Linked DNA regions of Xenopus tropicalis. The protein of the gene in region 2 purifies or fractionates together with the protein of the main gene of each other region. This does not show direct contact. Links are inferred from orthologs where the notes say so. Each region holds a gene or a part of one and is shown on either strand. Other genes may lie near its edges.

The links. The genes of interacting proteins can lie anywhere in the genome.
Region 1: the proteins of copg2 (region 2) and cope purify together in Homo sapiens (affinity purification with mass spectrometry; 5 studies listed by BioGRID and IntAct, with this or other methods). This does not show direct contact. The link is inferred for Xenopus tropicalis from reciprocal best matches to the Homo sapiens genes COPG2 and COPE.

Annotation. Positions count from the first base shown.
Region 1 is NC_030677.2:112,613,934-112,620,502, reverse strand, and holds the start of cope (coatomer subunit epsilon), read left to right. Parts: upstream 1-2,592; 5' UTR 2,593-2,634; coding exon 2,635-2,733; intron 2,734-2,965; coding exon 2,966-3,028; intron 3,029-3,811; coding exon 3,812-3,912; intron 3,913-6,542; coding exon 6,543-6,569. Other genes in the region: probable ATP-dependent RNA helicase DDX49, read right to left, coding at 514-599, 1,245-1,368, 2,319-2,433. UniProt on the Homo sapiens protein: The coatomer is a cytosolic protein complex that binds to dilysine motifs and reversibly associates with Golgi non-clathrin-coated vesicles, which further mediate biosynthetic protein transport from the ER, via the Golgi up to the trans Golgi network.
Region 2 is NC_030679.2:86,708,003-86,713,952, forward strand, and holds part of copg2 (coatomer subunit gamma-2), read left to right. Parts: intron 1-328; coding exon 329-517; intron 518-867; coding exon 868-963; intron 964-4,151; coding exon 4,152-4,395; intron 4,396-5,034; coding exon 5,035-5,110; intron 5,111-5,524; coding exon 5,525-5,628; intron 5,629-5,950. UniProt on the Homo sapiens protein: The coatomer is a cytosolic protein complex that binds to dilysine motifs and reversibly associates with Golgi non-clathrin-coated vesicles, which further mediate biosynthetic protein transport from the ER, via the Golgi up to the trans Golgi network.

The sequences.
Region 1 (6,569 bases), on a different chromosome or scaffold from region 2:
CAGTATTTGTGGTATGTATAATGGATGCAAAATGCACAGAGGTGTGTCTCACCTACTATTGAGGGACCAGAATCCAGCCTTTTTTTGATGATTCCGTTTCAGCCGATTCCACGGTCCCGGACGTAACGAATCCGAACTAGCTAGTTTGGATTCGGTACGTCCGGGACCATGGAATCGGCTGAAACCGAATCATCAAAAAAAGGCTGGATTCTGCTCCCTCAATAGTAGGTGCAAATTAGCATTCGGAAAGGGTTAAACGGTAGGGGCACGCCAAATTGTAGCGTGTACCAACTTTTAACCCTTCCCAATGCTAATTAGGATTCAGATTCAGTTTGGGATTAGGCAGAATCTGTCAGGGTGGGTTCGGTCAGAGCCAAAACAGTGGGTTTGGTGCATCCCTAGCTACTACAGTTATATAGTTTACTTTTATGGATCAGTTCCTTCTTGGACCTTATGTAAAGACATTACCATATTTCATACATTTGCTACAACTGGATAAGCCAGGATACATACCCATTCCACCAACAATAATGCAATCCTTCAAGCCCAGTGGCTTCCCTAGGACCCGAAATTGTTCTGCAATCTGATATGCGAGTTCTCTGAGAATAAAATTTAAAAAAAAAATCTTATAAAGAGAAATATAAAAAATATTGCTGGTAAATGTTTCTCTTTTTTGGTCTCGTAAAGATCTCTATCTTTAACATATTTGTCTACAAGTGACCACAGTTTTAATCTGACGACAAATTAGTCTGTATTTTCTAAATATACTTGACATTTGTAATCCATTTCAAACATTTGCTAGAGGAAGATAAAGCTAAATTTAAAGACCGGCAACTTATGTTTAGATTATGCACGAATGACAACTGGCTATAGCTGTGCACTGGATGTTAAGAATTATTCACAAAGCAACAATATATACATACATACATGTGTAGATTTTTTTTTCTTAAGAATCTTTCTACAATGTTTTCCTCCCTCTTTGAAATCTATGCCTTTATGTCTCAGTATCCCTGTGTTAAAGACCTGTAAAACCTTACAAAGGTTAACAGGGGCTACATATCATTATTATTAGATATTACTTTGTCTACTAAAAAAAATCATGTAAAATATCTGAAGCTAAACTGTGAAGTCATCTGTTGTTCATTGTAGGGAAAGACCATAATTTTTGCTCTACCACAATATTACTTTTTTTCTCTTTAATGAGAAAATTATACAATAACTATTATAATAGCATCTGTACTCACCGAGTTGGTGTCAGAACCAGGCAAAATATTCCAAAGGGATCCTCAGAGAGTTTTTGGAGAATAGGCAGCACAAAGGCAGCTGTTTTTCCACTGCCAGTCTTTGCACATCCCATGCAGTCTCGGCCTAACAGGACATCAACTTCATGAGTTCTCAACAAAATACAATACATTTTCTGTGCAGATGTTAATGGATAGTTGACCTTTTACCAGGTGGCTTTTTTCCTCTGATACATAATCAGATACATTTAAATCTGCAAACAGCATACACACGCAGACCCTTATTCAGCATACATTTCATCAATAATACAGGCTCACAGAGGCAGAACTGTCTGATAAACGTTCTGCTTTGTTTGAGCTGAGCTCAGGAGAGAAAGTTAGGAGAAAAAATTGAAGCAGACAGCTAGAGCTGAGTTTCTATGGGAACCAGCAATGCCATCTCTTCACTGGCTGCTAGACTGGAGGGCGTATTTTGTAATCTGAGTTTAGTACAACTGAGCATGTCTGGCAAGGCAGGAATCAAAGCAAATTCCCAAGGGGGGGGGGGCGAGTGGGTTACAGGAGGAGAAGGAAATCTAAGTGATTAAGGGGATGTTGCAGCCTTACTATTAACCTCTGGACAAGCAGAGTGGCAGGTATTGAAAGATTTCAAAGAGGCTGTTCACTGATTAAATTTTTGTGTGTGGGGTTTACATGTCCTTTAGATGAATGCAATTATTATGAATCGAACTTAGGTACAAGCAAAACTGTGCACAATATATTTATAAATAGGAATGTAACTATGGAGGAAACTGACGCTTCAAGAGACTGCCGGGGGGCCAGAAGGTAAAAGGGGACCAGTGGGACAGTGACAAAAAAGAAGATTAATACATTTAAATTAAATCTTACTCCTAAATGTTAGGGTTCCCGCAAATTTAGCGCTGCTTTCCTTTAACATATAGTTATGCCATTTACCTTTTGATCACTGGTTTTTCAGATGATTTGTAACACTTATGTAGATGACTTGCTCACCCTGGACAACTCAGATAATCTGCCCCCTTAATCGCGAAGAATCATATTCGCATTCACTAATCTCACCTTCCAGGATGGGCGGGATGCAATTCTCCTGTACAGGACTAGGTTTCAATATGCCCAGTTGGCTACATTGATCGATAAGCCAGGAAGACAACCCAAGCCTCGAAAACCCTTCCATCTTGACACGCGTGATAGCCACTAGCAGCACATTCCGGCGCACAAACTAATGCGTCACACAACTCGCCCTTCTATTGGTCCTTACGGGAACTGACCTTTGGTACTACATCTCCCGCCATGCCTTTAGCTGAGAGGCGGAAGTCGGTAAAGGAAGGCGGAAGTTGTGGAAGCTGGCCGGCTGACGTGTCCGGGATATACAGAAATGGCTGCACAGGGAGAGGTGGACGAGTTATTTGATGTGAAGAATTCTTTCTATATTGGAAGTTACCAGCAGTGCATTAATGAGGCGCAAAGAGTAAAGGTGATTTAACGATTACAGCAAACTGGGTCAGAGAGGCGTGGAGTTATGGCTGAAGGGATATGGATAGTGGACATAGCAGCAATCTTTTTAAATTGGGCATACGTATTGAACAAATATAACGACAGCATGCATGACTGAATCAGGCACAATAACATCTATTATTTTTCTCATGCTAACAATCTGAGGTAAGATGGATAATCAAATAGTAACGTGGGAATATTTTATTTTACAGCCTTCAAGTCCAGAGAAGGAGGTGGAGAGAGACGTTTTCCTGTTCAGAGCATATATAGCCCAGGTGAGAGAGACTCTGTATTATAATCATACATTATTCTCACCCAGCTGTCATTAGTATTGTGAATGTAGCCTTTTTTCCTCCTGCACGTATACCTATAAGTAAAAGAAGCTTTTTATTTCCTCCTGCACTTATACCTATAAGTAAAAGAAGCTTTTTATTTCCTCCTGCACTTATACCTATAAGTAAAAGAAGCTTTTTATTTCCTCCTGCACTTATACCTATAAGTAAAAAAAGCTTTTTATTTCCTCCTGCACTTATACCTATAAGTAAAAAAAGCTTTCTGTTTCCTCCTGCACTTATACCTATAAGTAAAAGAAGCTTTTTATTTCCTCCTGCACTTATACCTATAAGTAAAAGAAGCTTTTTATTTCCTCCTGCACTTATACCTATAAGTAAAAGAAGCTTTTTATTTCCTCCTGCACTTATACCTATAAGTAAAAAAAGCTTTCTGTTTCCTCCTGCACTTATACCTATAAGTAAAAAAGGCTTTTTATTTCCTCCTGCACGTATACCTATAAGTAAAAGAAGCTTTTTATTTCCTCCTGCACTTATACCTATAAGTAAAAAAGGCTTTTTATTTCCTCCTGCACGTATACCTATAAGTAAAAGAAGCTTTTTATTTCCTCCTGCACTTATACCTATAAGTAAAATAAGCTTTTTATTTCCTCCTGCACTTATACCTATAAGTAAAATAAGCTTTTTATTTCCTCCTGCACTTATAACTAAGTAAAAGAAGCTTCTTATTTCTTCCTGGTCTTATGACCTTTTATTTTCCACATGCAGCGCAAGTATGGGGTTGTTCTTGATGAAATTCGGCCAAATACCAACCCTGAATTACAGGCTGTCCGAATGTTTGCAGAGTATCTGTCCAATGAGAGTCGCAGGTATGTGCATTCTACATCTCCAGGGGGCAGATTTATCAAAATTTGAGATTAGAGCTCACTACAGAAAAATTCACTTTTTATTCATTCCTATGGGATTTTTAGAAGCATATTTATCAATGGGCTAAAGTTAGAACTCACCTTTTGATAAATATGCTTCTAAAAATCCCATAGGAATGAAAAGAACATGGGTGAATTTTTATGTATAAATCTTTGAACTCCCATTTTGATAAATCTGGCCCTATGCCTCTCCGTTATATTGTCCCACTCTGTGGCTCTCACCAGAACAACTGGCATATGGCTACTACCAGAAACTCGCTTGACCCTATACAACTAAAACGGTTACCAGATGTGATCATTTGGGTTTCAAGAAATGAGGTCTAGAACCATTGCACTCCCTATAAATATATTAACTTTAGGGGGCACATTTACTAAGACATTTTAAGAAACAGTTGATTTTTGTTTTTTTTTTTTTTACTTCTGTTGAGATTTACGAATGGGTTTTTGCCAGTGCTCGATTTTTCTGATATTGTTTCTCGAAAAATTCTAGTTTTTCAGAAATTTTCCCTGATAAATTTGAGTTTGTCGAAAATAACTCCCATTTTATAAATACAACAATGATCAAGTTTAATTCGAGTTTAATTAGAATTTAAACCATGTCGAGTTTATACTACTTTCAAGTCCAGAAAAAAAAAAAATTTTATTAAATCATTCCCTAAAACTTTTAGGGGAGATCCAACCACAAATAGTAAACAGGTTGGCTTTTCAGAGTCTTCAGATTGGGGAGGGCATATACCAAACTTGTAGAGGGCAAGAACAAAAATCTATATCATAGGCCAGGCTCATATAAACTTAATTTACTAATTAGAAGAAACATTACATCAGCTTAGCTTGATGCATCAGGATAAGTTATGTGACTTTTCTTCTTAATGATTATTTTTTTGAGTGGAGGACACTTTTTTCAGTATGTGCCTTCTGCAAGTGTTGATACATCTGCTTTTAACTTTCATACACTACCGTAGGCTCCCCTAATGGGTTGTGCTGTATAACTGACTATTAGATTTATCAGTGTAGTAAGTAAATGAGAAATCTGGGTATTATATCTGACCAAGCTTAAAGGACAAGGAAAGGCAAAGTCACTTGGGGGTGCCAAAATGTTAGGCACCCCCAAGTGACTTAAATCGCCTACCTTTTACCCCGGGCTGGTGCCCCTGTTCGGGGAGAACAGCACCAGCCCGGGGTAGCTGCAGCGCTTCCTGCTTCGCGTGTTTGTGCATGAGCAGTCGAGTGAAAAAGCTGAACTTTAACAGAGAAGTTGAATTTTTAATCTACTGCGCATGCGCCGGTCGTGGGGTCCCGGCAAAAGGAAGGAGGAACCGCTCGCTACAGGTACCCCGGGCTGGTGCTGTTTTCTCCTAACAGGGGCACCAGCCCGGGGTACAAGGTAAGCAATTAAAGTCACTTGGGGGTGCCTAACATTTTGGCACCCCCAAGTGACTCAGCCTTTCCTTGTCCTTTAATCAGATTTTGATCTGGAAAGGCAATATTTTTGACCTAAACACGGGCCAGTTGGGCTGCTGACTTGCTCAGAAGTGGAATAGTTGGTAGCAAGTGTTTCTTTCTATAGGCACTTTAAGTGGTAACTTAATAATGAGATAAAAGCTAAAATTCCAAAATCGAGAGCTAAAGAATAAAATATTAAGTAATTCAGAAACAAAAATGAATAAATTAAAATCAGCTGCAGAGATATCTCGAAATATTGATGGATAGACTATATTATAAATTTAGGATAACAGACTGTTGAAGACTAATTAATGAACTAGTTTAGTTTTTATCATACATACTATAGGTTCACAGCTTTTCTAGAAAGGATAGGTCTGTAACAAATAGTTGATCTGTCACAATTCAAAGAAAAAATGTAGCCCTCCCTTAGTGAAATGATAAAAGATATCTAAAAGAGAAGGAAAGATTAAAACCACTGTGGAGTGTTTTGTTTTTTTTTTTTTTCCCCAGTCAACAAAGAATTTCTGTACTACACATACACTCACTCAGGGTAATAGGCAACTTGCCACTCCCCAGTAGTTTTACCTTTTTTCTCCTTTAAATGTAGGTATTTTAGATATACATTCTGAAGCAAATGTATATTCTTGATAATACTTGGATTATAGTGCTAAGTTATACCAGTCTAAAATGAATATTTTAAATTTCTCTCTAGTGAGCGCAAAAGAAACTCAGGTACAACTACTCCCCATGTTCAGTCATGTAGAGTGGCCACATGCACTGTTGTAAATTCTAAACGTCTTAATAGAATAAGTAGTCCTTTTATTTTAAAGTCCCTTAACATATCTAGCATGGGCATTAAGTTCTGCCTTCTTGCTTTCTGCCTCCAATGGAAATCAATTAGGCATGTATATTAGACAGTTCCTTGACTGGATTCCTTATCAAAGGAGTAGGAAGACTTAGTATATACTAAAAAGTGCAAAGCTTTACACTGGCTTGATTTCTGCAGCATGTTCAACATCTTGTCTTAGGAAGGATCTGACTTAATGTAGAGAGCTATGTTCAAAATAAATACATTTGTATTAAACTTGTCAAAATCTTTCCCTTGAATTATCTTTTTTTTTAATTTCTAGAGATGCCATAGTTTCAGATCTTGACAA
Region 2 (5,950 bases):
GTGAATCATTTGCAGTTGTTCAATATATACAGAAAAACACAGATTTTATGTTTTCCTGGACTGCACCAAATTGGCGTAAATTCTGGGAAAACCGTAAATCTTGGGGGGGAAAAAAATGCAACTTGCGTGAATGGGACAGCATCAATTGCGGGAGATGTAACATTGGGGTTCTTTTGTATATATATCTCTACTTACAGATAAACTTCCACATGTATTAACTTGGAATCATGCATATTATCCTATTGAGGACATACTATAAAAAAAAAAAGGTAGTTTGTCTCTGATTTTTGCAATTGTATAATTTTAAACAAAGTTTTCCTTTTAATAGGTTGCAATGAAACATCCATCTGCAGTTACTGCATGTAACCTAGACCTTGAAAATTTGATCACAGATTCCAACCGCAGTATTGCCACGCTGGCCATCACAACACTGCTGAAAACCGGCAGCGAAAGCAGTGTTGATCGACTAATGAAACAAATCTCCACCTTTGTCTCTGAGATCTCAGATGAGTTTAAAGTAAGACTGTTCTGCACTCTGATCTTTTGACAATAAAAAAATATACATGTATAAAATGTTATTTTTTTTTCAAAAATAAACAAAAATATGCCCATTTCTTAAGTGGGACTTCCTTTTAAATTGACAAAATTTGCCTCCCCCAAGTAATATCTGAACTTTTTCCATAGAAAACAGCTGCAACATCCCCTTCTGTGAATAACCACTTGGAGTGCTGTAGGGAAGGCATTTTCCCAGCAGATCATATTTTTCCATATTTATGAAAAATGTAAAATATTTGCTAGAGGATGCTTGACAGTACACTCTGTTGATAACATTTTGCCATACGTACTGATTGCACTATATAATTGCAGGTGGTAGTTGTACAAGCAATCAGTGCCTTATGTCAGAAGTACCCACGCAAGCACAGCGTAATGATGACGTTCCTTTCCAACATGCTCAGGGATGACGTAAGTACACATGTGCACATGTTTTTTTAATGTTAATTTATTAATTGTAGTAAATCTTGTCTTCCTACCTCATGTTTTAATGTTTAACATGCCACTTTTGGTAGGGTAAGGCAAGATGCAGAATTGAATGAGTTTGGCATTTATTTTCTCAATTTGTGGCTGAGTTGGGATATAACTCTCAAGGGGTTTTATCTTTCTAATAATCAGTATTATTAGGGGCCCATGTAAGGTTAACCTTGAAGGACTGGTGTCCATTTTTACCTGAAGATAATGGGTAATGGCATATGGAGTGCTTTTAATCTGATAACTATCCATTTTCATCCATAGGGTTGGGCAGTTTGGCAAGGCATTTTTTGGGGTTGCTTAAAGTCGTAATGCTTATAGTACCCAAAGTATCCTCTGTTGGTGTTACCCTGATATGCCAAATAGATTGATATTATGTGTGTTATAATGATGCAGAATTGTAAATATGGATTATGTACATATGATTTTATATTTGTATATTTTCAAAATACTTTCATTTCATTGTTAATTACTGATATTAAAATTCTCTGTACTAAGGGTGGCATATATTGTATAAAATCCCCTATGTGACCAATCCAGTACCAATTTAACTTCATATAGATGGCCTAATAGACAGATAAATGCACAGATCAGAGCATATGTCAGTTGGCTAGGTCACTGGAGGCCTGGCAAACTGATGAATTGATAACTTATTGAATGCTATAGTTTGGCTGGGTTGAAAATTCTGGTCAGAAATCATATTTCAAGTAAACAAAAAGGATCTGATGGTATATGCAGTGTGTGATCAATTCAGACAGTTTGGACCTCTGACTAGTTTATAGACTAAAAATGGGTTTCTCTGCTGTGACCTTTTCTGCAATTTAACAGTACTTTTCTGACTCAAGAAAAGATTTCTGGATTTATACATTAATCAAAGTATATTGATGTGCCAATTTGTGTCTCGTATGAGCAGTCAAACACAGGAATTTTCAATGGGTGTTTGTACACAGCACTGGTCCATGTTGGAATAATTGTCTAAATTGTTGCTCTCCATCTGCGATTTGCACAAGGGTTTTATGATCTAGGCAATTGTTTCAAAGAGGAAAATAATTTATTAAATCTAAGGGGCTTTATTAACTACTATTAACTTTTTACAAGTGGTACCTACGAGCACTGCTTGTAAACTAGTTAACAATAGTTAACAAAACCCTTTGGTGTTCTTAGAAGTAGAATAGCCCACAATATATTATAAACATACTGTATATACACTGCTCAAAAAAATAAAGGGAACACTTAAACAACAAAATGTAACTCCAAGTCAGTCACACTTTTGTGAAATCAAACTGTCCACTTAGGTAGCAACACTGATTGACAATTAATTTCACATGCTGTTGTGCAAATGTAATAGACAACAGGTGGAAATTATAGGCAATTAGCAAGACATCCCCAATAAAGGAGTGGTTCTGCAGGTGGTGACCACAGACCACTTCTCAGTTCTTATGCTTTCTGGCTGATGTTTCAATGACTTTTGAATGCTGGTGGTGCTTTCACTCTAGTGGTAGCATGAGACAGAGTCTACAACCCACACTAATGGCTCAGGTAGTGCAGCTCATCCAGGATGGCACATCAATGCGAGCTGTGGCAAGAAGGCTTGCTGTGTCTGTCGGCATAGTGTCCAGAGCATGGAGGCGCTACCAGGAGACAGGCCAGTACATCAGGAGACGTGGAGGAGGCTATAGGAAGGCAACAACCCAGCAGCAGGACCGCTACCTCCACCTTTGTGCAAGGAGGAACAGGAGGAGCACTGCCAGAGCCCTGCAAAATGACCTCCAGAGGGCCACAAATGTGCATGTGTCTGCTCAAACGGTCAGAAACAGACTCCTTGAGGGTGGTATGAGGGCCCGACGTTCACAGGTAGGGGTTGTGCTTACAACCCAACACTGTGCAAGACGTTTGGCATTTGCCAGAGAACACCAAGATTGGCAAATTCGCCACTGGCGCCCTGTGCTCTTCACAGATGAAAGCAGGTTCACACTGAGCACATGTGACAGACGTGACAGAGTCTGGAGACACCGTGGAGAACATTTTGCTGCCTGCAACATCCTCCAGCATGACTGGTTTGGCAGTGGGTCAGTAATGGTGTAGGGTGGCATTTCTTTGTGGGGGCAGCATAGCCCTCCATGTGCTCGCCAGAGGTAGCCTGACTGCCATTAGGTAGTGAGGTGAGATCCTCAGACCCTTTGTGAGACCAATATGCTGGTGCGGTTGGCCCTGGGTTCCTCCTGATGCAAGACAGTGCTAGACCTCATGTGGCTGGAGTGTGTCAGCAGTTCCTGCAAGATGAAGGCATTGATGCTATGGACTGGCCCTACTGTTCCCCAGACCTGAATCCAATTGAGCACATCTGGGATATCATGTCTCCCTCCATCCACCAATGCCACGTTGCACCACAGACTGTCCAGGAGTTGGTGGATGCTTTAGACCAGGTCTGGGAGGGGATCCCTCAGGAGACCATCCGCCACCTCATCATGCCCAGGCGTTGTAGGAAGGTCATATAGGCACACGGAGGCCACACACACTACTGAGCCTCATTTTGACTTGTTTTAAGGACATTACATCAAAGTTGGATCAGCCTGTAGCGTTTTTTTCCACTTTAATTTTGAGAGTGACTCCAAATCCAGACCTCCATTGGTTGATAAATTTGATTTCCATTGATAATTTTGTTGTCAGCACATTCAACTAGATAAAGAACGAAGTATTTAATAAGAATATTTCATTCAGATCTAGGATGTCTTATTTTTCTGTTCCCTTTATTTTTTTTGAGCAGTGTATTTCGCTTCATAGTAAATGAGGCCATACACTGTTCAGCCCAGCCTGTTTACAAACATGCGCAACCAAGTATCTGACCAACATCCATAGCACATGGATATTTGTTGGGATTGTTGGGTTCTAATACATGCACGGGCATAAATAGACACATTACTACCTCTTGTCTATCCATAGGTGATTTGGGGTGTTAATTGTTAGTCATAGATTTACTTGGCAATTCTTGCCAGTAGAACTAGTTCTCTTTAAAAAAAAAATTAGTAAATGGCCATAAGATAATTAATTTTCTGTTTAAATAGTGTCTTGTTCCTAGCTCAAAATGCTCAAGTATGCTAAACTACACACACTCTCATATGCAGGGAGGTTTTGAATACAAGCGTGCCATTGTGGACTGCATTATTAGCATCATAGAAGAGAACCCAGACAGCAAAGAATCTGGCCTTGCTCACCTGTGTGAATTTATTGAGGACTGTGAGCACACAGTTCTGGCTACCAAGATTCTGCATCTTTTGGGAAGAGAAGGGCCAAAAACACCCACACCCTCCAAGTACATTCGTTTCATCTTTAACAGGGTGGTATTAGAGAATGAAGCCGTCAGAGCAGGTAAGAATACCACCATTATTTTTTCTTTCTTCCTTTTTTCTTTGCTTAAGTAATAACCTCAATTATTTATTAGTAAACATAACTTAATAGTAGCTATATTACACTTAAACTACGGCTATAGTAAACTTAAACTACTTATTAGGATGTTGCAGAGATATACCTCCAGAACTCCAGTGCAGTAGGGTTTGGGGTAATTTGAATCGTTAACATCTAGATTACTGAAGGCTGCTTTACATTTATTATTTGTAAACCGAGGCACTTATTTTTAATGTTAACCTTTAACTATTGAAGTTCCATTTTCCCAAACTTCTGAGCCACACTCAGATGTAAAAGGTGTTGGTGAGCCACACAAGCTTGAAAAAAGCTCTTTGGGGATTTTAAATAAGGACTGTGGTTATTTGGTAGCCCCATGTGGACTGCTGGTCTGCAAGAGGCTCTGCTTTGAGTAAAACAGAGAAGTGTCTCTGTGCTTCCAAAACTTGTCTTCAAGCCAGAAATGTAAAAATGGACACCTACTTTGAGGCCACTGGGAGCAACATGTTGCCCCCCAGTCACTAGTTGGGGATCACTGCCTTACAGCAATATGATGGTGTACGTAGCTTTGCTAATGATCTCTTGTTTTTATTTTTTTCCTTATAGCGGCGGTCAGTGCTTTGGCTAAATTTGGTGCCCAAAACGAACCTCTTCTACCAAGTGTTTTGGTACTTCTTCAAAGGTAGTGCATTTTGGGACATGGTATACGCTAGCATTTTGAATTGTTCATATTATAAGACAAATTGTACTGGGCCAGATTGAAGGTATATATAATAAGTAATTTCACCTAATGTACTTGGTGCACATAGAGCTATTGTGGTATGGGTTAGAAATGCATTTTTAACAGAAAATTCTAGTGTTACTGTGCCTGTAACTATAATAAAGCAAAATAAAATAATCATGATGTGATTGTTGCTCTTCCTGCTTTTCAAATTTCCATGGATCCCTCTAAGAATATGCCTAAACTTCGTATTCTGTAAAGATCATTTAAGCATGTGATCACTGATAGATTCCAAAATACAGTTAGCCAGCATCTTTGTTTAACATTTTGGAAAATATTGCTAAATATTAGCATTGTATTCTGCCTGCCTTCCAGGTGCATGATGGACAGTGATGATGAGGTGCGAGACAGAGCAACATTTTACTTCAATGTATTAAACCAAAACCAACTAGCACTTAATACTGCCTACATTTTCAATGGTTAGTAGCAAAGTAAATAAATCTGTCATTTGCATATTCGTATCTATCTTACATTTTTAATGATTTATTTTATTTATTTCCTGGTGGTTATATAAGGCTGACACATTTTTAATTTTATTTTATTACATCTGCTCTTTTTTAGGTCTGTCAAATGCATTATGGTAGTCTAGTTTCCTGTGTTCTGTGGTCATCAAAACTAACAGTCTTCATTAGTGGATTTAATTTAACTGTTAAACCATCATGGCAAACTATTCTGAAAATTAGAAAACGAATATTAGCTTTATCTGATGGACATAATTACTCTTCAGTATCACCTTTCCCT